Linked DNA regions of Notamacropus eugenii. The protein of the gene in region 2 interacts with the protein of the main gene of each other region in a pairwise test. Links are inferred from orthologs where the notes say so. Each region holds a gene or a part of one and is shown on either strand. Other genes may lie near its edges.

What was found.
Region 1: the proteins of TRIM2 (region 2) and CIB3 interact in binary tests that used the Homo sapiens proteins (3 or more experiments, as listed by UniProt). The two-hybrid records come from large-scale screens. The link is inferred for Notamacropus eugenii from reciprocal best matches to the Homo sapiens genes TRIM2 and CIB3.
Region 3: the proteins of TRIM2 (region 2) and LRRC8E interact in binary tests that used the Homo sapiens proteins (3 or more experiments, as listed by UniProt). The two-hybrid records come from large-scale screens. The link is inferred for Notamacropus eugenii from reciprocal best matches to the Homo sapiens genes TRIM2 and LRRC8E.
Region 4: the proteins of TRIM2 (region 2) and UBAC1 interact in binary tests that used the Homo sapiens proteins (3 or more experiments, as listed by UniProt). The link is inferred for Notamacropus eugenii from reciprocal best matches to the Homo sapiens genes TRIM2 and UBAC1.

What each region holds. Positions count from the first base shown.
Region 1 is NC_092875.1:59,264,162-59,271,197, forward strand, and holds the start of CIB3 (calcium and integrin-binding family member 3), read right to left. Parts: upstream 3,017-7,036; 5' UTR 2,842-3,016; coding exon 2,791-2,841; intron 1,767-2,790; coding exon 1,732-1,766; intron 1-1,731. UniProt on the Homo sapiens protein: Acts a an auxiliary subunit of the sensory mechanoelectrical transduction (MET) channel in hair cells. Plays a role in regulating hair cell MET channel localization and function.
Region 2 is NC_092877.1:151,306,214-151,313,247, reverse strand, and holds the start of TRIM2 (tripartite motif-containing protein 2), read right to left. Parts: upstream 3,003-7,034; 5' UTR 2,937-3,002; intron 1-2,936. UniProt on the Homo sapiens protein: UBE2D1-dependent E3 ubiquitin-protein ligase that mediates the ubiquitination of NEFL and of phosphorylated BCL2L11. Plays a neuroprotective function. May play a role in neuronal rapid ischemic tolerance.
Region 3 is NC_092875.1:51,719,747-51,726,578, reverse strand, and holds the start of LRRC8E (volume-regulated anion channel subunit LRRC8E), read right to left. Parts: upstream 3,007-6,832; 5' UTR 2,921-3,006; intron 1-2,920. UniProt on the Homo sapiens protein: Non-essential component of the volume-regulated anion channel (VRAC, also named VSOAC channel), an anion channel required to maintain a constant cell volume in response to extracellular or intracellular osmotic changes.
Region 4 is NC_092872.1:490,824,354-490,831,758, reverse strand, and holds the start of UBAC1 (ubiquitin-associated domain-containing protein 1), read right to left. Parts: upstream 3,014-7,405; 5' UTR 2,710-3,013; coding exon 2,572-2,709; intron 1-2,571.

The DNA.
Region 1 (7,036 bases), on a different chromosome or scaffold from region 2:
CTCTCTGACTCTCAGTTTCTCCATCTCTAAGATGAGAGAATTGAACTAGATTGGAGTTCTTGATCTGTTTTGTGTCATGATTCCTTTTGCAGTCTGTGAAGCCAATGGGACCCTTTTTGGAATAATGCATTAAGTGAAATACATAAAATTACAAAGAAAACCAGTTACACAGAGTGTCTCAGGAGTCTTAGTTTTTAATTTTGATAGCTTAAAACTGCGCAGTTTTTAATCTGTTAAAGTTTAAAAGTAAGACTTTTAATCTAAGTTTTCAACTTTAATAGCTTAACAGAGCTTTTAAGCTATTATGGTTTAAAACTAAGAGTTTGGGAGCACCCAAAGTATTGAAATAGTTATCCCATTTTTTTTTTAATGTTTACAGACACCAAGATAAGAACCTCTGGACCAAATAATCCCTAAACTCCCATGCTGCTCTAAATCCCATCATCTATTCTTCAAATTGCTCTCCTTTAATTTAAGGGTTTGATCTCTGTTACAATTCACCACTCCTTCCCCCAATATCCTGCCAGGGCTCATCCTTGAAGCTATCAATTAGAGAATCACATAATTTGACAGTTAGAAGGGAACTCCCCAGCCATCTAGTCTGACCCAAACATGAAGGAACGCCCACCATAACCTAACCTACCAGTAGTTACCTAGTAGCCTCTGCCTGAAGTCCTCCAGTGAGAGGAAACCTGAGCATTTTAAGCAGCTCATTCCACTCAGGGAAATCTCTAATTTTTAGAAAGCGTTTCCTAACATCAAACCTAAATTTGCCTCTTTGCAATTTCCACTCACTATCCCTGATTCTCCTTCTGGTACCAAACAGAATAAATCTAATCCCAGTCATTCCTAGTACTTTATACTTTAGTCTGAGTGAAGGCTGTGGGAGACAGATTTTGACAGGGATGAGGAAGAGGGAACATGATGTACTTCTCACTGTTACCTGTTCAATTAGGGAGGACCGGCCAAGAAGTCCTTTGTCACTGGCCAACTGAGCTGTCAATCAGCATCAAGCCAAACAATCAATAGTATTATCATCAGTTATAATCCTGGCAGAGTGACCTGATGATGCCAACTCACAGTTAAGCTCATGGTAAAAAGAAGAGAGTTTGCTCTACCCGCCCCCCCCCACCTCCATTTCTCTGTGTTTATCTCTCTTTTGAGAGAGTATGACAAGATCATTGCATACATCCCTGCCCTGAAAACAAAACTGTCAGCTTTGCAGTTTTGCTATCTGGTATACTTGTCCCGTGATGCATTGCTCTGAGCAAAACACACGGAAGAATACTGAATTGGGGGTCAAAGTATCTGGATTCAAATCCCCGCTCTGTTACTTGTTGTTGCCTGTATGAAACTTAGGCAAGTTACTAAAATATTGACCTCAGTTTCCTCATTTGTAAAATGATGAAGTTGGATTAGACTAGGGGTTCTTAACCTTTTTGGAGGGGGTCGTAGGCTTCTTTGACAACCTGATAAAACCTATAGATCCCTTCTCAAAATAACATTTTTTAAAGGCATAAGATAAAATTCAGAGGATGATCAAAGAAACCAAAGGTTTTTTAAAATAAACCCACCCAGGTTCACAGACAACCTGAAATCCTAGGTTAAGAACCCCTGGATTATATGATCTCTGAGATCCCTTTAAACTCAAAAATCCTATGATCCTATAAGCACCTACCTTCAGCTTGAACCTTCCCAGTGATGGCTGAGTGCGTCCCAGAAGAGACTTACCTCAGAATTTCTTTCCTTGTAAAGAAGGTGCAGTCCTGCAAAGAAAGGGGCATAGAGAATGTTGATTTATCAAAGCTTCCCCTTCCTCCTTTCCAGAGAGCAGGGAATTAGCAAAGATCCTCCTATTTGTGCCACAAATATGCTTTTTCATAAGGGTGGCCAGATCTCCATTGGACTTCATGAACACAGCCATCAAAGGTCAGTCATCTATCAACCTGAAAACTATAACACAAATCAACCATTTTGACAAATATTTTTCCTTAAACAGCTGAATTTCTGGTAGAATTGTTTCAGCCCCACACAAATGTAGTCTAGGTCAGCGAGTGCAGTAGCTATAATCCAAGATGGAGCAGTCTAAGCAGTCAAAAAGAGACACAAGGTCAAAGCAGAGGGCACTCATCTTAGATCCAGAGAATTCTCCCCTTTCCAGTCTGTCCTTCACATGCTTCCAGAATAATCTCCCCAAGGCACAGGTCTAGACCCTGCTCAAACTCTTCAATGGCTCCCTATCTGCAAAAGAAAATCCAAACTCCCTGATTTAATATTGAAGACCCTCCGTCATCTGGATCTAATGGACTTTTCCAACCTAATGGCAAATTACCACCTTTCTCTCTATATTGCAGTCAAACTACTGAACTCAACATCTTTCAGTTTCATTCTTCCCATCCTGTCCTTTCCTATCTCCATGCATTTGCACAAGCTATCCTCCATAACAGGAAGAGATGCCCCTTGTCCACTTCTACTGGTAGAAATCCTTCCCTTTCTTAAAATAAAAAGTAAATGTCCTTGAAGCCTCCTCTGAAGTGATCCTGCCTGACCCAAATCTCTCACCTTTTCTATTTAACCTCTTGTACGTCCTTATCACATTCCAATTTGTCTTATAGTTATTCCTATTTATCCCCCTTAGATTGAAAGATCTTTGAGGGAATAGATGTTTTTCATCTTTGTTTCTCTAGGACCAAGCAAAAGAACTCACATTTAGTTTGGTGGACCCTTAATATGTTGAACTAAACCAGGTTCAAATGGCAGACTCTTGTTCCTCCCTCTCAGGGCTCTTACCTGATATGCGTCAAGCTGTTCCGGAGTGAAAACTGTCTGCTTGCTGCCCATGTCTAAATTCAGGTTCAGTTCTCCTAATGGCTTTCCTCTTAAACTCAGTGATCACTTGATTTAAAAAGCAGGGGAAGGAGCCTGGCATAGGGGAGTCAGTCCCCTGCCAACTGTGAGGATTACTAAATCACCCCCAGGAGTATTTAAGCAAAATCCCTGACTGGCATCAGGCCCCTATGCCCTCCCTTTGCTCTCAGCCCCCACCTTCAGCCGGACTCACATTACAGCCTCTCAGGGAGCACAGCCCAAAGCTGCTTCCTGCCCATCTTGTCCAGTCCCACCCTCTGTCCAGGGAGTATATGGTAGACAGAGGAGTATGTTGAAGCCTGGACCAAGAAGCAGAAGATTCTCATCCTGGTTGTGCCACTAATTACCTATGATGTTGAGCAAATTATGCCCCCTCTCTGGACCTCAGTTTTCTAATCTGTAAAGAGTGGGTGTTAGACTAGATCAGAAGTTCTCAATCTTGTTTATGTCTGGAACCCCTTTGATCGTCTGTAAAGTCTAAGGACTCTTCAGAATCAGAAGAATAATGTTCTTAAGCATAAAATAAAGTACATAGAATTAGAAAATAAACCAGTTTTATTCAAATGCAGGTATCAAAGTATTTTTTAAAAATAAATTTATGGACCCCAGGTAAAGAATTCCTGGATTAGAAGATCTCTAAGATCACTCACAACTCTGGCATTCTGTGATCTATGGTCTAAGGGTCCTCCCAGATCTGACGTTCTATGTTATGTGTTCTAAGCTCCCTTTCAGCCCTATAACTCCTATATGCTGTTTTTATATACTGGACATGAGTTTCTGTTCCTTTTTGTCCTTGAGGCGAATGAATATCTGGATTACTTCTGCCTAAGACTAAATATATTACCATATATAGCAATACACAAGACTATTGCTGACCCCTCTCCCTCCAAGGGCCTCTCCCTACCCCCCCAGCTCTGGACTCATGCATACAGACCACATTCAGTCCTAGAGGAACCAAACTCTTAAAAAGAAGGGATTTACTCGTATTCTTGTAAATTTGACTCAGTTCTCTATATATTTTAGAAATGAGGCCTTTATCACAGACATTAGTTGCAAAAATTCTTTCCCCGTTTTCTACTTCCCTTCTAATCTTGGTTGCATTGGGTTTGTTTGTGCAAAACCTTTTCAATTTAATGTAATCAAAATTATTCATTTTGCACTTCATAATGTTCTCTATCTCTTGTATGGTCAAAAATTTCTCCATTCTCCATAAATCTGATAAATACACTATTCCTTGCTCCACTAATTTGTTTATAGTATCAGTCTTCATACCTAGATCATGTATCCATTTGGACTTTATTCTTGCGTACAGTATCAGGCATTGGTCTATGCCCAGTTTCCACCACACTGTTATTCAGTTTTTCCAGCAATTTTTGTCAAACAGTGAGTTCTTATCCCAGAAGCTGGGGTCTTTGGGTTTATCAAACAGTAGAAAAGCTATATTCATTAACTACTGTGTCTTGAGTACCTAACCTATCCCAATTGATAAACGGTCAAAGGATATGAACAGGCAGTTTTCAGAAAAAGAAATTAAAGCTATCTATAGTCCTAATGCTTAAATCACTATTGATTAGAGAGATGCAAATCAAAACAACTCTGAGATACCACATCATACCCATCAGATTGGGTAACATGACAAAACAGGAAGATAATAAATGTTGGAGAAGATGTGGGAGAGTTGGAACACTAATTCATTGTTGGTGGAGCTGTGAGCTGCTCCAACCATTCTGGAGAGCAATTTGGAATTATGCCCAAAGGGCTACAAAAATGTGCATACTCTTTAACCCAGCAATATTGCTTCTAGGACTATATTCCAAAGAGATCATAAAAATGGGAAAGGGTCCCACATGTACAAAAATATTTATAGCAGCTCTCTTTGTGGTGGCCAAGAACTGGAAATCAAGGGAATGCCCACCAACTGGGGGATAGCTGAACAAGTTGTGGTATAGGAATGTAATGGAATAATATTGTGCTATAAGAAATGATGAACAGGAAGACTTCAGAGAGGTCTGGAAAGATTTATATGAAATGATGCTGAGTGAAAGGAGCAGAACCAGGAGAACTTTGTACACAGCAACAACCACAGTGTGCAAGGAATTTTTCTGGTAGACATAGTCCTACACAGCAATGCAAAGTCCTAAAATATTCCCAATGGACTCTTGAGGCTAACTGCCTTCCACATCCAGAGAAAGAACTATGGAATTGGATTGCAGAATGAAGCAGACCATTTTCTCTTGTGTTATGTTTTGTTTTGTTTTATGGTTTCTCCCATTCATTTTAATTCTTCTATGCAACATGACCAAGGTGAAAATGTATCTAACAGGAAAGTATGTGTAGAACCTATATAATACTGGGGGGGGGGGGGGGAGGGAGGGGAAGGGAGGGGAAATATCTAAGATACATGAAAGTGATTGTAGAAAACTGAAAACAAATAAACTAATTTAAAAGAAACAAAAAAGAAGGGTAAGGCTCCTTTTCTGGTCCACTCTATCTTTATTCACTGCTACCCCCTAGTACTAGGGAAAATTACTTATAGCTCAAGTTTGGCTCATGTCTGGGGTATCCCCAAAAAGGGAAATCGAAAGGTACTCTGTACAATGAAGATCAGGTATAGGACAGCTATTTATTTCCTTCATTCAAAAGAAATGCTTAAAACACAAAACTCACAAGCATGAGTTGATCACATCAAACACAAACTTGCAACTTACAATCACTACCATGCTCTTCCAGGAGGTTGAGATTTAAAATGTTAAGACAAGGAACATTTGGTGGTACTGTTGAATGGGCATTTTATCTTCACCTTGACTGTACTATACAAACAGCTGCCTCCAGATCCATGTCTTCTGGGAAACCAGGCTGAGGTTTGAACTCATCTTCATCCTGGGAGTTCTCTGAAAAACATTACAGTAGCTTCCAGTGGGGGAATCCTCCTGAAATGCAACCAGCACCAACTGATGAACCCAAGAACTCCCAAACTCTCAGTATAGCCATTCCAAAAAGATCATCTCTCAATCACTGTTTAATCTAACAAAACATAAAAGGCAGCCAGGAGCCCAAAGCCCAGGTCAGGCTTGACTAGAAATACATGAACCCATTGTCACATAGAAGCAATGGCCAAAGGTCCCAGGGTAGGCAGGAGACATCCCACCTCCTCCACATACAGGAAATTCCAGAAGGCAAAAACATTTTTGGGCTGCTGGATATGCAACCACCTTACCATTAGACTGAACTGTCTGAATTAATCATTTCAATAGTAGGGAGGCAAGGTACCAATGTCTTGCTTCCTTTTATTGAGATTTTAACCCTTATAGTTCCTCCAATTACAGGGCTCACTTGGGAAATCCTCTTCTATCTCCCAGAATCTCATTCTCTCTGTCTCTCTCTGTGTCTCTGTCTCTGTCTCTCTCCAGTCCAAACTGCTTAGGAAATCAAGATTCCTCATTCTCCTTGGCAAAGCACTTGGGTTCAAGAAGAATATCAATGAACCCCTCCCCTCTTGGGTCAAGTGGTAAAGAATATGTCCATCTCTACCCTGTGCTTCTCAAGGATCTCTTGCTACTCCTACACAGCTTAGGGGCTATAATCTCTTGGCCTTAATTGGATATTCTTAGCAAGTGCCACTGGCTTCTGCACCAAGAAAGTCATTCCTGGGAAGAAAGTATATAGATGTATATAAATCTCATTCCTTGTCCCTCCCAGACCCCAGGTCCTCTCTGCTGAGTTCAAGTCCAGCCTTAGACACTTACAACCTATGTAACCCTTGGCAAGTCACTTAAAAAAAATTGGTTTCAGTTTCCTCAGCTGTAAAATGAAGATAACTCTACCTATCTCTCAAAGCTGTTGTAAAGATCTAGTAAGATTAATATTTTTAACACACTTAGCAAAATGTTTGGCACATAATAAGTGCTATATAATGTTAATTCCCTTCCCTTCCATGGTTAGTTGACGTTCTTTTATAATCCTCACCAGGGGTGGCTCTTCTCACAAGAGTCTATCCTCCCATGACCTTTTGTTGTTATAGTTCAGTCATTTTTCAGTCTGACTCTTTCAGTTTGACTCATCAAGGTTTCAACTGGTGTTTTCTTGGCAAAGATACTGGGGTGGTTTGCCATTTCCTTCTCCAGGGTCTCCATTTTACAGCTCAGAAAACTGAGGCAAACAAGATTAC
Region 2 (7,034 bases):
TCCCGAATGGTAACAGATGAAATATTGAATAATGAGGTCTTGAGAAAATGACAGGAACTAGTCCTGTAGGCATGGACATAGGGTTAAAACTGTGAAATTGTTCCCCAAATCAATCCATCACTTACTATTAACTGCCTACTAAAAGCTGGGTATTATGCTAGGCCCTGGAGATACAACAAAAATGAAATAGTTCTGCCCTCACTGTGCTAACTCTACTATAAAAGCCTGAACCTTCTGATGAATACAACTGATCTGTGTTTTAAAAAAACAAACAAAAAACCCTAAAAACCAAAGCAACATTCTTGCACTCTTTCTTCTTTCCTTTCATCCTTTCCCATCATCATACTAAATAGGAGGAGGAATGGAATTATATAAGCATTTGGATCCGGGCCCACTGTCATCATGGACAACCTTCATTAATATATGAGACCCTCATTCCTATTTACTAAAGAAATATGTGCCTATAAAGTAAAGCCCAAACCCCTTAGGTTCAATCATTCAACAAGCATTTATGAATTATCTCCTAGGTTCTATCTGAAGTAGGCAGGCTCAGTGGATAGAAAGAGCTAGCCTCAAAGCCAGGAGGGTATGGGTCTATGCTGGCTCTGAGACCCTGGGTAAGTCACTTAACCTCTCAGTATTCCAGGCAGTCCTCCAAGGTTGTACATTTCAGAACAATGATGACATGTACTGGTAGAGAGAGTTTCTTTCCCTGGGAATTACTCAAAACATCAAAATCACAGTTCTAATCTTTATCCCTAAATGCTAAACCCTGTGCCAGATGCTGGGGTTAAAAAGAAGAAGCAAGACAGGTCCTTCTTACAGTTTAGCTAGAGAGACCACCTGTGTGTGTGTGTGTTTGTGTGTGTGTGTGTATGTGTGTATAACACACATATATACATATATACCCACCCATACTTACATATACGTAAAAGTTGTGTATGCATGTGTGTGTACAAAACACTTACAAGGTGATTTGAGGAGCAAAGTGTAATAGCTGGGGGAATTAGGAAACTTTATACAGATGATTCTTGAATAGAACCCTGAATGAAGCAAATCATCCTAAAGGATGGAGGTGAGGAAGGAGTACATTTCAGTGTAGGGGACAGAACAGTACAAAAGCAAAAGGAAGAAGATGAAGGTGCCTAAGGGACAAGAAGAAGGCTCGTTTAGCTTAGCTGCCATGTACATGGAAGGGACCAATGTGTAGAGGCTAGAAAGATAGGTTGGAACCCGGCTGGGAAGGGCTTCAGATGCTGCACGGCAGGGAGAAGGGGATTATATTAGATTCTAGAGTTAACAGGAAGCCAAGGAGCAGGGGAGGGACAAGGTCAAACCTGAGCTTTAGGAAGATGACTTTGGCAGGCTGTATTTGGAACAGGGGGAGACTTGAGTCAGGCGAGAAGTAATGAGAGCCTCAACTAGGGTGGTGGTTGTGTTGGCACAGCATTCGAGGCCTTTTGCCACTCAGCCCCAACCTACCTTTCCAGTTTTATCTCAAATTTGTCTCCTACACACACCCTCTTTTTCAGCCAAATTGGACGACTTCATTGCCTAAAACATGCCTTAAGCTTTCTCAGATCATTTCTTGTTTCTCTTCCAGCATGGTCCTAGGAAATAGAACCTGAAGTCTAAGGGATGTAGAACCTTAGTCAGTAGGCTGTCTTCATCGCTGCCTATGTGGGTTTTCTGGATATACGCTGAAAATCTCAGATGTGCCACTTTCTACCTCTGTGACCTTCTCTTGTCCATCAGTAAAATGAGGAGATAGGACAGATGACCTCTAAGTCCCTCTAGCTCAAATCTGTGATCCCAAGTCATGTCAACCACTCTGAGCTTCAGGCAAGTCTGCAAGATTCAGCTAACAAGTGATTGACCATGGGCTGCCATTTTCTTTCGTGGAGGTTGTTCCCTCATTGTAGTCATAGCATCACAGGATCATTTAGACTTTAAGGTCTCTTCTGGGGTGTATGGGGGGTTCAGAGAGGACTAGCACATCTCATGTGAGGGCATGCTGAACTTTTATCAGGGCTGCTCATCCACCATTGGTGTCCACCTTCACCCAACTCTCATCTGTGGCTCCAAGAAGCTGCAGCATGTGCAGAGGCCACACTCTGGCACCATCGCAGCAGTTGGGATAAGTCAGGTGGTGGGCAACCGACAGGCCTCAAACTTGTTGGTGAGTCAGGGAGATGTCTACCCCAGGGATGTGAAGATTTCTCTCAACAGAATAAGCAGATGAAAACAATTTATTCTAATGGCCATGAAGGCTGCTGAAGGAGGAGCTAAGGAGTGCTTAGAGTTTGGTCAGACCCCAAAGAGGCCAAGGTCATCCACAACCACCTGGGCCAGTGCCAGTAATTCTAGCTTTTCTCTTGTTGCTGGACTTCAATGACTCCGGAGAGAGTGAGGCTGAAAACAGTGTGCAACTCTGCCTCGCTTAAATCCAATTCTCACACAAGTCAAGACATTACCCAGTGATGGCAATGACCCTCTTTGAAAATGAAGGATGAACAAGGTCCCTTGTCTAGTCCAATCTACTCATTTTACAGGGACTAGAGAGGTTACATTATTTATGACAAGGCCACACAAGTACTGAGAACCCAGGTCTTCTGCCTTCAAACCCACTGTTTTTCTCACTGTATCATGCTACCTCTTAGATCTTTGATGTATTAATGGATTGACTTTATATTACCTTTGTCACCTTGCATGAGTCTCTACTTCTTTGACCACAATCTCCTCATCTAGAAGATGAGTGGGCTATACCAATTGATTTCTAAGTACCCTATGAACCATGCTCATTTGGAAACCCTTATTAGTTTCCCAATTCTATAGTATTTTCACTGCAAGGTCAAGTGCACTGGGAGCTTTTTGTGATGATCAAGTTATTTTGTTTACTACTATTAAAAAGCATGAGGGAATTATTAGAAGCTTACCTTGGCTTCATCTTCCTCCAGTTGAGCTCAGCTGTGCAGGACTTTCCTTGGTAGAAGAATCCCTCTAGGTCAGAGACAACTGATGCTCTGTGTCAGACTCTGCTCTCTCCTTCTGTCTGCTGCCAGTATCGATTATTGTCTATCCCAGCTGTCTTCTCTAGTTAGCAGCATCAGGATAGCCAGCAGATTGAATCATGATTAGTGATGGATACAGCTGAGTTATGCCCAGGTCCTCCACTGTACTCTATTAGAGAAATTCAATTGGCCACTGGTTCCAGACCATAAATCACTCTGAGGAGGGTGTCAAGAAAGCCTCAGTATCTCTGCTCTTGAGTCAGATGGAAAAGTAATCCTGGGAAGAAAAAGTTGAGAACCAGAGATGTGGGACTATCAGTGCAGAATGTTGCAAACCCAGTAAGTTTAGATAGATTAATCCATATTTATTGCTGTTCAGTTGTTTTAGTCATATCTGACTTTTTGTGACTCCTTTTGGGGTTTTCTTGGCAAAGATTACAGGAATTGATTCCTATTTCCTTCCCAAGCTCATTTTACAGATGAGGAAACTGAGCTAAACAGGGCTAAGTGACTGACCCAGGGTCACACAACTATTAAGTGTCTATGGCCAGATTTTAATTCAGGAAGATGAGTCTTCAGACTCCAGGCCTGTCTCTATATCCACCGTACCCCCTACCTGCCCCAAAACATTTATTAAGAGCCTACTATGTGCCAGGCACTATAATAAGCAATGAATTTTGATTCATGTGTTATTTCCTTTTGCTGAAATGCTTTTTTAAAAAAAATTGCTAAAAATGATGGCTAACTAGGTAGGGGGAAAAAAAGAAATATTTTCAGAAATATAGGTGAAATAGAAACAAGAGATATCAATAAATATTTTTAAATAAAGATTGCATAGAAAAGCAACTGTACTGTAGGACTGGAGGTTAAATTTCTTGATTTTCAAAAAGAGAACAGAAAGAAATATGTAAACTCTATACCAATTGGCTTGACTTTCATTTCTGGCAAAATTCTAGAATGTATAATTAAATAAAGTGATATCTAGAAAAGAAGGCTGTGATCACAAAGAGTCAGTATGACTTCATGGAGAACAGGCCATGCCAGACTAACCAAATTTCATTTGGAAATTGGATTGGTTGGATTGAATAATGTCTCTCATTAAATTTTGGAATAGAGGGAGATGTGAGCTAGACAGCAGTATAATTGGTTAGGTTCAGACTTGGCTAAATGAGACTAGACCCTCAGATTACTCATCTGTAAAATGACCACACTCAAAGAATAGTAATTAATGGTTTGGTATCAGTTTAAATATTTCCGGTAGAGCACCCCAGTGATCTGTTCTTGGCCTCGTGCTGTTTGATATTTTCGTCTGTGACTTCAATAAAGGCTTACACAATACGGTTATTAAATCTGTAGGTAACACAAAAGAGGAAGGATGGCTAACACTTGGTTAAGGTAGTCAGAATCCCCAAAGATCTTGACAGGCTAGGTTGCTGGGCAGAATAAAATAAGGTGAAATTTAATATGAATAAATGCAGTCTTTACAATTGGGTTTAAAAACTCAATATCACAAATATAAGATAGGAGAACAATAGCTAGGACTCAAGGGTGTGCTGTTAAATATTTAACAACCAGCTTTCTGGGCAGGAGAAATGTGTGCTGGACACACTTTTAGTTTAATCTGCTTTATTAATACCTTCTCCATTTTGTTCTTAAGTCTAAAGAATCAACAGAACAACAAATCAAGCCCTGATTTGTAGCCTTTGATTTGAGGTATAAATGCTCACACTGAAAATTTAACAAACAGATACTTCCGGGGGCTCCCATACCTCTCTGTGAGAGGCTCTTTTCAATTATCTATTTGAGAAATTGCCACTTGCTGAAGACAGCTGGCATCTTTGTTTAGGCTACTCATTCGTTTCAGTCATGTCCGACTCTGTGACCCCTTTTTGGTGGCAAAGATACTAGAGTGGTTTGCCATTTCCTTTTCCAGTTGATTTTAGAGATGAGGAAACTGAGGCAAACAGGGTTAAGTGACTTGCCCCGGGTCACACAGCTAGTAAGTGTCTGAGTCTGGATTTGAACTCAGGAAAATGAGTCTTCTTGATTCTAAGCCCAGTGTACTACCCACTGTACCGCCTAGCTGCCCCTCTTTGTTTAAATACTGGGGGCAATAATGAAATAAATTTAAATAGATAGTAACCTTAACCACCAACTAGCTCAGAACTCTTTGTTATAGATTCCATCTTGAGCCTCATTTCTGTATTTTTCCTTCTGTTTTCTAGCCTCCCATTTTCTCAAATTAGAAGGAGAGACCTGATGATCTTTCCCAACTACACTGCAAAATCATCTTTGATGGTTTTCTTCTCTGTTCTTATACTATTGGCAAATAAATTTTGATTTGCAAAATGACCCATTAGTAGAAGGCTGTACCTGATGCATTCTGCTCAGGCACCTTATGGAAAGGTAGGTAGGTGGTGCAATAGAGAGAGTGCCAGACCTGGAGTCAGGAAGACTCCTCTTCTTGAGTTCAAATCTGGCCTCAGATATTTACTTGCAGTGTGACCCCAGGCAAGTCACTTCACCCTGTTTGCCTCAGTTTCCTCATCTATAAAATGAGTTGGAGAAGGAAATGACAAACCCTTCTAATATCTTTTTACAAGGAAACTCCAAAGGGGGTCATGAAGAGTCAGACACAACTGAAACAACTGAACAACAATAATCCCTTATGGAAACAGGCCAACCAAGTTGGAAGAAACCTTAGAGATCAGCTAGGCTAACTCCTTCAACTAACTAGTTAATCTAACCCTTCAACTTACGGCTGAGGAAACTGAGACCCAGCGGTGAAGTAACCTCCTCCAGGGAACCTTATTTTTCAGTTTCTAAAACATGAGAATTTATTGATCATAGATTTAGTGCTGGCCGGGCTATTGAAAGCCATCTTGTGCAACAAGGTCCAGAGAGGTAAATTACTACTATGCATGGTCATGCAAGTGACAAGTAACAGGATTTGCATCCAGATTCTCTCACTCCAAACCCAAACTTTTCTTCCCAACATGCTGTACTTTCTCTCATGAATTGCTAATAATACTAATTGCCCATCTCAGAGTTAGACACGTACGGTTTTATGAGAATTGGTTTTAAAATATCATCTAAACCAGGAGAACATTGTATATGGTAACAGCAACATTGTGCAAGGATCAACTTTGATAGACTTAGCTCTTCTCAGCAATACGATGATCTTAGACAATTCCAAAAGACTCATGATAGAAAATTCTATCCACATCCAGAGAAAGAACTATGGAGTCTAAAAGCAGATTGAAACATAGTATTTTCTCTCCTTCTCTCTCCCTCTCCCTTTTTGTCTTTCTCATGGTTTTCTTCTTTTGCTCTGATTCTTCTTTCACCATGTGACTAATGTGGGAATATGTTTAATATGATTGTACAAGTATAGCCTATAACAGATTGCATGCCATCTTGGGGAGGGGGAGGAGGAAGGGGAGGAAGGGAAGGAGAAAAAAATTTGGAACTCAAAATCTTGCAAAAGTGAATGCTGAAAACTATCTTTACATGTAATTTGAAAAAATAAAATACTATTAAGTAGAAAAATAAAAATATCTAAGGCAAAGTTTATATGAACTCATGTATGTATATAACACGCATATTTGTCCACATGTGTATACATACTGCACACATATTGCCCATGTGCATATAAATTTGCGTGTGTACCTATTACATTACACTATGTGTGTGTGTGTATGTAAATATATATATATGTATATATAATGTCCAGTTCTTTTCTTGAACTTACCTTTTCTTTGTCATCTCTTGTATTCTTCCTCCAAAACAGATTCTTTGAAAATCAAGAGATATAGCTTTTTATATTATAATTTCATCTTTATTTGGATCAATCCTGTGGTTACATTTATATAGGGAACTTCAGATTAGGAATTCCCTCCAACAAATCTTTGAGAGTTACTTGGGGATTCAAAGATGTTAAGTGACTTGCCCAGAGAAACATTCAGTACATGTCAGAGACAGGACTGGAACTCAAGTGATTGTATCTCCAAGGCTTGCTCTCAA
Region 3 (6,832 bases), on a different chromosome or scaffold from region 2:
ACACTGCCACTCTCCTTGTTCTAAACTTTATAATCCTCTGCTGCCTATCTCTAGTGACAAACTGCTTAAAGCCCACTGCAATCTGGCTCCCACATTCCTTTCCAATCTTTTTTCATAGGACTCCCCTTCACCAATGATCAGTTCTTGTCAAACAGAAAGACTGTCGATTTTCCTGGATGTAGCTCTAGGGATCATCCTCCCTGATCCAAATTTTGTCTCTGGGCACTCTTCACATGACACATGCCTGGAAGGCCCTCCCTGCTCAACCTCACGGTCCCTTCAAGACTCAATTGATGTTCCATCCCCTCCTCCCCAAGGTCTTCCTTGATTCTACCTTGCTCCTCCGTTTTCCTTGTCCTATAAATATTTTTGTTCACATCGTGTCCCCTAACATAGAATATCACCTCCTTAAGAGCAAGCAATATTATTTCTCCACATCCTCCAGTCCCTAAGAGAGGTGCTTAGTAGGAGCTTAATATATTTTGAATTGTTCTGGTTTTCACAGCAGATCAGCATGGAAGTCATTTGTTAAACACCTAATTATGTCTATCACTGTAAGTCTCACTTTCCACAGCCAACATCAAATCTTCTCCCATCCTCCACCCCCCCAAAAGTCATATCATTTGTCCTCTTTGAGAATGAAAGATGGACAAAAATAACAACCCCCCTCAAAAAAAAACACCTAACTAAATCCAATGCACCACTTATCGATAAGCTTAGGTCACAAAGCCCTTGTTTCTGCATCAGTTCCTACCATGTCAGAGAAAATCTTAGAAATGTACTCAAGAAAGACAAATACTGAGGAAGAATCCCAGTCCCCATCGTGCATCTCAAACACCCAATCAGATAGATACACAATCACAGTAGACCCAGTCTTACTCATCGTTGGTTACTCAGTTACAGGCTCACATAGAAATATTGAGCAAACCCAGGGAAATAGTCACCAACCCACCAGTCTCTCTTAAATACTGACAGACACAATCCTAGTCACAAACACAGAGAGGTACAGATAAACAGAGGCAGAGATGAACAACATCAGACAAGAAATCCATTCCAGACAGATGGACACAAAAACACACACAGTCCCAGACAGAGCCCCAAATGTAGAGTGGCATATAGATTGGCAGACACATGGAATTGTCATTATCTCTGTCTGTCTTTAATTCTAACTTTGTGGTCCCAAACCTATCATTAAGCCCCCATAGACACATGACTGTCTCCACGCGCAAGGACATTGTCTGAAAACGATTCTGGTGGAAGGGCCCAAGGATAATAGACCTCTAAGCAATGAATTCTCAAGTGATGGGCAGCATCTACCCTATGACCTACGGTGATTTCAGACACTTCAAAGCAGGCTCTGGACCCCTGAGGAAGGCCTGATATCCCATCATCAGGACTTCATTCCTTTGAAGGCATTTAACCCTGACAAAATGCCAATATGTGGGAGGGTCCCCTAGCCAGTCATTTCAGTCACTGACTCCTTTGTCAAAGAGATTCATCTGTTCTTTTCCTAAGATCAGATCTGTAAGGGAAGATTTGAGCCCTGGATGCCTGAGGCAGAGTAGATGGGGACAGGAAGGTCACAGAAAAGAGAAGCCAGGGGACGCATGCACTTCATTTACCTGACAATGGCCTCCTGACCAGCCTCCCTTCCATCTCTTGCCTCACCTCTAGATGATATTTCTGGCATAAATTACCAAGTATCTTCCTAAAGTCCAGGTCTGACCATGTCCCTGCCCTGACTTTCCATGGCTTTCCCACCCTAGAGGGGAAAAAAAGGCACTGCAGTGGGTACTTGAGATGTTCTTCTAACTGGCCCCAACCTACCCCTGCAAGGTCATGTCTCCTTCTGCTCCAAGCACCATCCCCTCCTCATTCGTCTGCCCTAACCTTTGCTCTGTCACCCCTTTTTCTAGATGTCCTTCCCCCTTTTGTTCTATAAATCCTCTCCATCTTGGGCTTTCAGTGCTTGACCCAAGACTCACCTGTGGGAAGCCTTCCCAGACCATTCCAGCTCTATCTGAGCAGACAGCCCCTACCTATTCTTTGGCTAGAGATCTTGGCCTCTGCCCTATGATACTGGATTCATTATGGATTAGCTATCTTCAACCTTGTCTTAACTCTTCTAGGAGATTGGAAATCCCTAGAAGGCAGACACCCAAATATTTGTTAATTGGCCAAATCACAGGCTAGTCCAAAGGACAGGATAGTGGAGTGTCAATATGCTGAGGACTGAGGATCTCAAAGCTGACTGGAGAGATAGGAGTCAAAAATCGAGGAATAGGAATTGGGATTTTGAAACTGGAATCTCAGGGCCTGGGGTCTGGGGTCTGGATAGGGAAACAATCGCTTCATAAGTCAGGGGACCGTCTATGGTGACAGGGGCTCAGAGTAGAAGAGATCTGGACTGGGCCCCATAACAGGATCTATGAGGACTGGGGTTTAGGGTAAAAGAGGTCGGGACTAGGAGGGAATCCCGAATAAGTCTTCTCTCAGCTCTTTTCTCCCCCCCACCCCCAGTTCAGGGGCTCAGCCTCAATGGCACCGACAATTGCCCGGGGGTAGATCTCGCTCTTTTCCCGGCAGACTGTGTGTGGTGGCGTACGCAGCTCAACTGTCCCAGCAGATCTCCCTGTCGGGGGGATAATTCCCACTCTCCCCTCGCTCTCCACACTAGTCCTCGATTTCCAGGTGCAGCTCCCCAGCCTTCGGGACAGACCTCCGTTCTCCCAGCAGGTCCTCCTCCCCGTACAGGGACAACTCCCTCCCGCCAAGCTCTCGGGACAGAGCCTCATTCTCCTGGTCCAGATCCCTAGCCTTCCGGACAGATCCCCGTCCTCCGAGGGGATTCCCCTGCCGGGATAGATCCCCATTCTCAGAACTGAATCTGCTCTAGGAACAGACCCCTCGTTTGACTCACCCGCCGGTGCAGCAGTGACTCAGTCCCAGCTCTCGGGGAATGCGCTCCGGTCTCCTCCGGACGTCCCGAGCAGCACCGGGGCCGGGCGGGTGAGTCAAGTCGGGCGTGGCCGCTGGAGCTGAGGAGCCGGAGCTGCTCCGCCCACCTGGTCCCGCCCCTCACCCCAGCCCTACTCGGGCCAGAGACTGGAGGGAAAGGGAAACTGAGGCGGAGGGTACCAGGATTCAAATGTCTGGGCTTTCAAGCAAATCAGGGGAGTCTTCTAAACTGGGCAACGTAGTTGGGTTCTCTGGGGACAGAGCCAGTCATTTGAGGTCAGCCTCAAAGGAAGCTAGATGACTGTCCTGTAGGACTTTGTACTGGACCTTCAGGGGAAACTAAGCCTTAGGCACTTAACAGGTCATTCTAAGGGAAAAAAAGATTCAGGCACCCTGCCTCCCGACTGTCTAGCGTTTCCTTCTCTTCTCCCCAGATCAGCAGTTCCAGCTAAGGGAGAGGGAAAGAAGTGGGGTCCTTTAATGATTTCCCCTCAGCCAACCAATCCCCAGACCAATCCAGAAGAGGGAATATTAGGGAGTCAGCACCAAGGGAGTTAGAACCCTCATCCAGCCACTCCTCCAGGGGGTAGTGGTTATGTCCAATAGCTGCAGGGAAACTACATGGCCAGCCCAAGGGGTTCCACTCCTTTCACATCAGTCCTGCAGGCTCATCCGGCTCAGAACAAAAATTGGGGAAGAGGAAATGTAGGATCTTAAAAGGCTAGTTAACCCAAGGGTTGGAAAGAGAGAAGAGAGCTTCTGATGAGTAAACCTGGACATAGATTCTGATAAGAGGGAGCAGACAGTAACTAACCTATGTCCGTTCTTCCCTCTGACCAGTGGAGCCTCTATGGTCACCAGCAGGCAGAAAAAGGAGGGTTCAAAGGAAGGGCTCCAGGCATTGGGACCTGAACAAGGACTTGAGCTGGAGCTCTCCTGTCTCCCAGGGATCCTGTCCTACCTAGCTTCACTTAAACTATATCTATCTTCCCTGTCTGTTCCTAAAGAGGGTAAGCTGGCTGAACGGAGAGCTAGCAAAGAGCTCAATCAGGGGATGTCAGGTTAGGTGAGCTGAGCATAAGAGGTCAGTCCTTTGAGTCCTTAGCTCACCTGAGGCACTGTGACTCACAGGCCACAACCTCTCCTTCTCTTCTCATCTCTCTTACACTTTTATCATTTTTTTTTTTTTTTGCCACATTTTCCCTCTTCTCCCCCCATTGAAAAGTAAAGAAGCTGAGGAGGCTTAGAAAATGCACAGACACCTAAGTCTGTGGAAATTGGAGATTTCCACTACTCTCCCCTTCTCTCATCTGATGCTGCCACCCCTCTTGTGCAAGCCCTCATCACCTCAAGCCTTGATTATTACAACAGCCTACTGGGGGAGGGAGGGGTTCTGCGGGCCTCAGGTCTCTCCCCACTCTGTCTTTCATTCAGCTACTAAAATGATTTCTCTAAAACTTTGATCTAATCATGTCACCTTCTTACTCAATCAACCTCAATGGCTTCCTATTGCCTCCAAAAGCAAATACAGAATGCTTCGGTTGGTATTCAAATCCTTTTGTAACTTGGATCCTTCTTACCTTTCTAGTTTTCTTATACCTTGCTTCCCAATACTTTCATTTCGATCCAGTGACACTGGCCTCCTGGCTATTCCACAAACAAGGCATTCCCTCTCTTGGCTCTAGGCAATTTCTCCAGCTCTTCTACATGCCTGGAATGCTCTCCCTTCTCTACTCCAACTACAGACTTCCCTGGCTTCCTTTAAGAGCCAGCTAAAATCCCTTCCTTTATTGGAAGTCTTTACCAACCCCTCTTAATTCCAGTGCCTTTCCACTGTTATATATGTCCTATTTACCCTATTTGTAGCTTACTTTGAATGTATTTGTTTTCGTGTTTTCTTTCCTAGTGTAAACTCCTCCAGGGCAGGAACAATCTTTTGCCTCTTTTTGTATCCCCAGCACTTAGCACATTGACAATTAATAAATTTTTTAATGCTTTTTTCCAATTATGTGCAAAAATTTTTAACATCTGTTTTTTAAAATTTTCAAGATCCAAATTCTGTCCTCAATTTCATGTAGATTACACATGTGCAATGATGCAAAACATATTTCCACGTTAGTCATCTTGTGAAAAAAAAAACAAAGACCAAAAAAAACACCACCCCAAAATAAGGAAAATAAAGTTTTTTTTAAAGTATGTTTCAATCTGCATTCAGACTCTATCACAATCTGCATTCAGACTCTACCATTCTTTCTCTGGAGGTGGATAGCATTTTTACTATCATGAGTCCTTTGGAATTATCTTAGATCATTGTATTGCTGAGAATAGCTAAGTCATTCACAGTTGATCATTGTATGATATTGCCGTTACTGGGTACAAAGTTCTCTTGGTTCTACTTATTTCACTTTGTATCAGTTCATGTCTTTTTCTGAAAGCATCTTTCTCTTCATTTCTTATAGCACAATAGTATTCCATCACAATCATACCACAACTTGTTCAGCTATTCCCCAATTGATGGGTAACCCCTCAATTTTCAATTCTTTGCCACCATAAAACTGCTATAAATTTTTTTGGCACATATAGATCCTTTTTCTTTTAAAAAAAATGTCTTTGGGATATAGACTTGTTGCTGGGTCAAAGGATAGGCCCAATTTTATAGCTTTTTGGGCATAGTTCCAAATTGCTCTCCAGAGTGGTTGAATCAATTTGCAACTGCATCAACTGTGCATTAGTATTCAGACTTTCCCACATTCCTTCCAACATTTGTCATTTTCCTTTTCTTTCTTATTAGCCAATGTGATAGGTGTGAGGTGGTACCTTGGAATTATTTTAATGTGTATTTCTCTAATTAATAGTGATTTGGAGCATTTTTTCCAATTGACTTTCTTCATCTGAAAACTGCCTGTCTATATCCTTCAACCATTTATCAATTGGGGAATATCTTATGTTCTTATAAATTTGACTCAGTTCTCTATGTATTTGATGAATGAAGCCCTTATCAGAGAAACTTGCTGTAAAATTTCCCCAGTTTTCTGCTTTCCTTCTAACTTTGGCTTCATTGGTTTTGTTTGTGCAAAATCCTTTTAATTTAATGTAATCAAAATTATCCATTTTGCATTCTGTGATGCTCTCTGTTTTTTGTTTGGTCACAGATTCTTCCCTTATACAGAAATCTGACAGGTAAACTATTCCTTGCTCCTCCAATTTGCTTATGGCAGGACCCTATTTGTTTAAATCATGTACCCATTTTTACCTTATCTTGGTATACAGTGTGAGATGCTGGTCTATACCTAATTTCTGCCAAACTGCTTTCCAGTTTTTCCAGTAGTTTTTGTCAAATGGTGAGTCCTTGTCCCCAAAGCTTGGATCTTTGGGTTTATAAAACATTATGTTATTATGGCCATTTATTACTCTATATTGTGTACATAATCTATTCCATTGACCTACCACTCTACTTCTTAGCAAGTAATCAAATTGTTTTGATGATTATTGCTTTGTAATACAATTTGAGATCTGGTATTGCCAAGCCACCTTTCTTCATATTTTTTTCATTGATTCCCTTGATATTTTTGATAGATCTTTTGTCCTTCCCTTCAATATTTATTCTACCCTCTGGTTCTAGAATATCAGGGAAGTTTTCCTTGATAGTTTCTTGAAAGATGGTGTCAAGGCTCTTTTTTTTAATCATGACTTTCAAGTAGTCCCATAATTTTTAAATTGTCTCTTCTGGATCTATTTTCCAATGAGGTATTTTACATTGTTGTTTTTTCATTCCTTTGGTTTTGTTTGACTGATTCTTGATATCTCATAGAATCATTAGCTTCCACTTGCCTGACTTTAATTTTTTTTGCTATTTATTTTTTCATGCTTCTCT
Region 4 (7,405 bases), on a different chromosome or scaffold from region 2:
TTCTATAGCAAGTAAATAAACAGTAGCAGGCTACGCTCCATACTTTAGTGGATAACCCTATAAAAATAGCGACTCTGCAGAATAGTTTTCATTAATCTCTGAAAATAACTATAAATCAATGTTTTAGACAGCTACTATAACACCAAGGAATCTCTGGGCTACAATTTACCCATATTTTAACATTCAAGGATAATTAATGTATCACACATAGATTATTACAACATGCATATTCCATAGTCACATATATCTTATAACATGAATATTACATAAAGAAACACTTCACACTAACGGGTTACTGTGGTGACACAATCAACAGCTTTTTTCCCAATTCTAATGAGACAATGGCCTCTGGCACAACACTTTATGTAACATAGTGACAAGTATTGACTAGGCATTTATACATTTGGTCTATGAATTGTGTTATAAAGTTAAAGTTTACAGAAATGAGTAAGTCTCCAGGAATTCGTTTCAGCCATCAGTTATATAATATATGATAGCTACACACATACACACACACTAACTCATTTCATTTGTGTACAATAAATTTAAAAGTGTGGTCACTTCAGAAAATCAGAAATCAGGAATCCATTTTTAGTTTTTTTTCTTAAAGGTAGTAATTTCAAACCAAAGAGGAATGCCTTGAGAGGAGAGGTAACGTTTTAGTGGTTTCAAGTACAGTAGGAAAAAAAAACTAAACCCTGCTGTGGAGAACATGCAACACAAATAACAGTTAACAAGAATAGTCCAAAATGCCAGGTTTTATCGAGACAGTTTTAATGTTTCTATGACTTCATTTAAGTGTGCCTTAAAACACTAACTATGAGTTCATGGTGAAACTGAAAAAAAAATTAAAACTTCACCAGAAAGATAGGAATTGACCTGGACCTGTGATTTCATAGATATAGGAAATTCAGGTTAGGAAATCCTCTTCCCAACAAAGGTCAGCACCTTCTCTGCCTAGAGCACTGAGAGGTTAAGGGTCACACAGTCAGTATGTGTTACAGGCAGAGCCTGAATCAAAGTCTTCTTAACTCTATTCAGGGGGCCATTCTGCCTCTTTATCCCTACTGTGCATCACTGAAAGTGACAGAGGAATATAAAGATCCTTTTCAAAATTTCCTTGAATCATCAAAAGAGTTGAAGCAGATTATGTAATGAGGGTAAGTGTCTAGTGTCCTACCTATCTCCTTCTGTAGTTCATATTACCTCAGAAAAGAAGAAAATAATAGAATGTGAGAACTAGAAAAGTCCTTTAAAGATCATCTGGTGCAAGCATCTTATTTTGCAGATGGAAAAGCTGAGGTCCAGAAAGGCTTTCCCTTGCCTAAAGCTGCACAGCTTGTTGGGAGCAAAGTTAGGACCAGAATCCATTGTACTACAAAAAGAGAAAGAAGAAAAAGCCAGGAGAAGCAGAATGGAGGTGGGTGAAAATGAGTTCACAGACTAAGGATTATTGAACGAGGTCAAAAAAAGATGTCAAAACAAAGGGGGATGAGGTGAAAAACCAGAAGTAAAAGGAGGGAAGGAGGAAAAAGGAAAAGAACTGTAGGAGGAAGAGATATAGAAGACAGATAACAAGAAATGGAAATGTAAGAGGGGAAGAAGGAAAGCAGAAAAGCGATTAAGGAAGGAAAACACAAATGGGCAAAAAGAAATGGAAAAATGAGTTAGATGAGTTTAGAAGTAGTAAGAAGGGCACAGGAAACTATAATTAGGGAGGAGAAATGTGGAAAAAAGGAAAAGGTGTCTAAAACCAGAAAAAATGTGAAAACACTAGAGGAAGGGGTGGGGCTTCTGAATCTCCAGTTCCCTCCCTCTCGGACCATTTTAAATTTAATTATTTTGCATTTTTTACTTTCTTTACATTAACTGTAGCTATATACACACGCATATGTACCTATATGCCTCTCTCTCTTCCTACACACACACACACACACACACACACACACACACACACACACACACACACACACACACACACACACACAGATACACCCCAATAGCTATGCCGATACAAATACAGGTATTATTGCTTACTCCTCCATGAGAAAGTAAGTTCCTTTCTAAAGTAGGGATTGTTTCATTCGTTATTTGTATCGCCAGAACCTAGAACATTGCCTTGGCACATAGTAAGTATCTGATACTTATTGATTATCTGGGGGAATAAGCTGTAAAATGAAGAAAGGAAGAAAAGGGGAGAAAGAGGTTAAATGTAAGAAAAAACAGAAATGGAAAGAAAAGAAAGAAGGAAGGAAGTAGATTAAAAAGGAGAACGAAACTTTAGGAGAAGACGAAAAGCAAAGAGACAAAACTGTAAGTAGGGAAAAGGAGAGAAGGATGGAGTGAAGAAGCATCAGTGAAAACGAGAGTGAGTGAAAAGGAAAGAAAAGGGGGGGGGGGGGTTCAGCGAGGGAAGGAAAATGTAAACGGAGGAGAGAACGGAGGGCAGATCGGCTCTCGGCTGTGCGCCACGGTCGGAAGGAGGGGACGAGGGACGGGAGGCTAGGGCCGGGGGCATGGGGATGAGGGGCGCCCGAGGCAGGGCCCGCCGGCTCGGCGGCGGCTCCTTACGTGTTTGAGGCAGCGCTCCTTGAGCTTCTCCACCGTGGTATCCTCGGTGACCTCCTCCAGCCACTCGGTGCCTTCCATGGTGCAGATGTGAAGCCTCAGGACCTTCCTGGCGAAGATCTTCTCCTCCTGCACGAACATCGCCGCCCTCCCTCGGCTCCGGCCGGGCCCGGGCCTCGCTCGCCTCAGTCTCCCTCGGCCTCAGTCACCGCCGCTGCTGCCGCCTCACACGGCCCTCCTCAGCCGCCCCGGGGCGGGGGGCCCGCGGCCCATGAAGGTCACCGCGGGCGGACGAGCGAGAGAAGCAGAAAAGCTAGTCCCCAAAAACCCCGGTCCCGGCCCCGACCCTGGCTCCCGCCCCGTAGCGACCTGTCACTCGCCGCCCTCCGCCCGCAGCCGTCGCCCTGACTAGCTACCCGCCGCTGCCGCCGCACGCCGGAAGTGCGGGAGGAGGTGCGCCCCGGGGTATTCTGGGAGTTGTAGTCCCAGCTTCGACTCGCCTCAAAGGGATCCCGTGGACCCTAAGAGCAAGAATGCGCGGGATAAGATTTAGAACCGGAAGGGACCTAAGACTAAAGAATATCAGGCTGAAAGACCAACATGAAATAGAAAACGTTACAGCTGCAAGAGAACTTGGAAATAAATAATGTCGTTTTGTAGATGAAGACACTGAGACGCAGGAGGAAAGGGACTTGCCCAAGTTCACAAGGCTAATTCAGTTGGATGAGGAGCCTCTAACCCAGGCTCTGTTTAGACTCCCCTTGGAGCTGTCCAGTTCTGAAAGCAGTCATTTGGAAACGCGATCACATTCTTTGCTGTGGTGACCTTGAGGGAGACACTCAATAGGATTCAATTCAACTTAATATTTGTTCATATGGGCAAGGTGCTGTGTTAGACACTGGGGATACAAAAACAAAACTAACAGCAAACAGTCCTTATGCTCAAAGAGTGTGCATTCCATTGGGAAGATAAGGTATGTACACAAGTAAGTAAATGCAAAATATTCTCAAAGTAATTTAGAGAATGAGAGAGTGCTAATCAATAGGATGAATAGGAAAGGCCTTTAAAATGTGGCATCTGAACTGCTCTTTGAAGAGGAAGCTAAGCAGCTTCTACATTAAGGGATCGAAGGGCTTGGGATATGATATTCAGAGGTCAGAGGAGCTAGGATTAAAACCAAGAATCACCTACCCAGCAAAACTGAGTATAATCCTTCAGGGGAAAAGATGGTCATTCAATGAAATAGAATACTTTCAAGCACTCTTGAAGAAAAGACCAGAGCTGAATAGAAAATTTGACTTACTAACACAAGAATCAAGAGAAGCATGAAAAGGTAAACAGGAAAGAAAAATCATAAGGGACTTACTAAAGCTGAACTGTTTATATTCCTACAAGGAAAGATAATATTTGTAACTCTTGAGACTTTTCTCTGTAATTGGAGGGGTTATATACATATAGACAGAGGGCACAGGGTGAGTTGAATAGGAAGGGATGATATTTTAAAAAGTGAAATTAAGGGGTAAGAGAGGAATATATTGGGAGGAGAAAGGGAGAAATGGAATGGGGCAAGTTATCTCATAAAAGAGGCAAGAATGGAGGGGAAGAGAGAGGAGGTGAGAGGGGAAAAGTGAACCTTACTCTCATCACATTTGGCTCAAGGAAGGAATAACATGCACACTCAATTTGGTATGAAAATCTACCTTACACTATAGGAAAGTAGGAGAGAAAGGGATAAATGAGGGCTAGGGGGGATGATAGAAGGGAGGGCAAATGGGAGGAGGGGGTAATTAGAAGTAAACACTTTTGAGGAGAGATAGCATCAAAAGAGAGAATAGAATAAATAGGGGGCAGGATAGGATGAAGGGAAATATAGTCTTTCACAACATGACTTTTATAGAAGTGTTTTGCATGCCTATATTTGTATAATATATATCAAATTCTTGCCTTCTCAGTGGGGATGGGTGGGGAGGGAGAGGAAAAGAAGTTGGAACTCAAAGTTTAAAAAACGAATGTTAAAAATTGTTTTTACATGCAACTGGGAAATAAGATATACAGGTAATGGGGTATAGAAATCTATCTTGCCCTACAAGAAATCAGATGGAGATGAGGGAAGGGAGGAGTGTAATAGAAGGTAGGGCAGATTGGGGCAAGGAGTAATCAGAATGCACATTGTCTTGGGGTAGGCAGAGGGGAGACATGGAGAGAAAATTTGGAACTCAAAATCTTGTGGAAATGAATGTTGGAAACTAAAAATAAGTAAATAAATTTTAAAAAGAAAGAAAGAAAAGGGAACTAAGGGATTCCAAGAAGTGGAGATGGAAGGAATACGTTCCAAATATGGGAAGACCATTTATGCAAAACATAGAAATGCATGATGAAATGTGTGGGGACCAAGTATTAATTAAGTGGCTAGATAGAGCATCTATTAAGCACTTATGTGCCAAGCAGTGAAGTAAATACTGCGGATACAAATACAAGTATACTTTTGTTGGGAATTGTGGAAGAAATGGATAAAATCTGTGTGCTGTAAGTTTGGGGGAAACATCTCTCCAGAAAAAGTAGCTTTAAAGGTCAAAAGGAGCTACAGGAGTGTGTAAATTTTATTCAACAGGATAAGCCCATTGATTCTATCTGGAAGGAAGCTTCCACTACCTTGGAGACCTAGGTTCTGATAGGATTAGTGACCAGAGTAAACAGGATCCTTGGTAAATCCTTAGACAACAAGTCATAGCTGACTCTTTTTGACCCCATTTTACAGGTTTTCTTGGCAAAGATTTCATTTTGCAGCTGAGAAACTGAGGCAAACAAGGCTAAGTGATTTATCCAGTGTCTGATTTGAACTCATGAAAATGAATCTTCCTGGTTCCAAGCCCAGTGCTCTATTCACTATACCACCAAGTGTAACAATAATTTAAGGTTAATGGAGGGGGTGGGGGAGAAGAGTTAAAGATCTTCCCCACCCATTAACAGGCCTCAATATCTTTTGCTAATTTCTATTGAAGCACTGGATCAGGGGATCTTGCCCTCTTGCTCTGAAAAATGTATAAATACTCTGAGGTGAGGTTTTGTTTTGGGGCTTACTCATTGGAAATGTTTGTTTGGCCAGAGGAGACTCTGGGTAGCTGCTAAGAAGCCCCCCCGACTTTAAAAACCCAGATATTTATTGGTGCTTCTCTCTCTGGTAACTATGTATGTACATTGGTCTGTGAAGTTGGATCTGTCTGTTGATCTGTGATGTATGTATTGCTTCTGGTCAGATAGTTGGAAGCCCTGTCTGTTGATCTTTATTTCTCTGCCTGTATTTTTTCTGAAGTTCAGGGTGCTAACTTTTCCCCCTGAACTAAGTGAATGATACATGTGCTTGATTAAAATAGATTGTTGATCCCTCAAAAGTCATTTTCCTTTTAGAAAAGCAGATCTAAGAACATGTACAACAGGCCCTCCTGTGTATGCCAGGGTCTTTACTGTTACAACTAGCTGCCCAAGAAATGAAGTTAACAAATCCAAACTCCATTTAAAACATCACTTCCCCCAAATCACCTGACATCCTGTCCCTATTATTCAATAAAGGAAGTACCTAAGTTGCCTCAGCTGAGAGATTTCTTATGCCACTGTAAAACTATAAAAACACCTTTTGCTGTGTAAAATCCTATGTATGTATGTACCTCCCTTGGTTCTGTGGCTAGTCACCTATCAACTGCCTACCAGCTGATGATAATGAAACCTTATGTCTTCTAGCCTTGCCTCTTGATTTATAGGCCTTCAGTCAAACAGTCCAAAGTGGGAGGATCTCTGGACTGAATAATTCCTCAATAAGATACAAGTGCAACCACGTTTTTGTTTTGACTGATTCAGGGGTAGTCTCTACCCTCAAAGAACTTACATTCTAAGGAGGAAAGACAATACATAAAGGGGAGTCGTAGAGTTGAGGGGTACTAGATCAATTGCCTATCTCCTTTCTCTGGAAAGAAGATGGAGAAGTTTAGAGAGTGATTGAAGAGAATATGGCCTGAACCCCTCATAAAATGGTAATCTTGGCTAGAGACTCACCAATCAGAAGAGCAAAACTCAAGGCAGAAGTATCTTCAGGGTGGGAAGACAGTTCTCAAGGCGGTTGAGAAGTTAGAAGTCTGGAGACTGAGTGGGCCTCAAGGTAGATTGCTGTGGTAAAGGCACTTTGCCCTAGCTCAGAGGAGTCCAGTGTTTCTCCTCCTTTGACAAATATACAACATGATATTTCACAGTTCAGGGCCCAATTTGCCGTAACTACAAAGTTACTACAGAATTAATGCTAATAACTATTCTTTAAAATAAAGTAGCATTAGATAGTTCTCAGGAGATCATTCTGGCCTTTGCATTCTTTTTCCCTACCAAAGGCCTGCTTGCTGGGGGTATGAAGGCAAAAAACAACAAATGGACCCTGTCCTCAAGGCATAGTCTACTGGTAAAAGACAAAATATACAGATATGTAAATAATAAATACTTTGAAAATGGAAAGAATGTGATGTAAATGGGAAGATCTGGAAAGCTTCAGAAAAGAAGATGTACCTTAAATGAGCCTTGGGGCAAGTGAATGGTAAGAAGGAAGCACATTCCAGGCACAGGAGATAGTATAGACAAACCCTGGGAGAAAGCATGTCAAGTTTGGGGAACAGTGAGGTTGGAGAGAGAATTTAGAACTCAAAATTTTTAAAAATAAATATTAAGAATTGTTTTTAAACATAATTGAACAGCTAACATTCCAGTCTGGTAGGAACATAGAGTATATGAAGAAGAGAATTATGAAATAAAACTGGAAAAAAAAATGTGAAAGTCAGATGGGGATGATTAAATATCA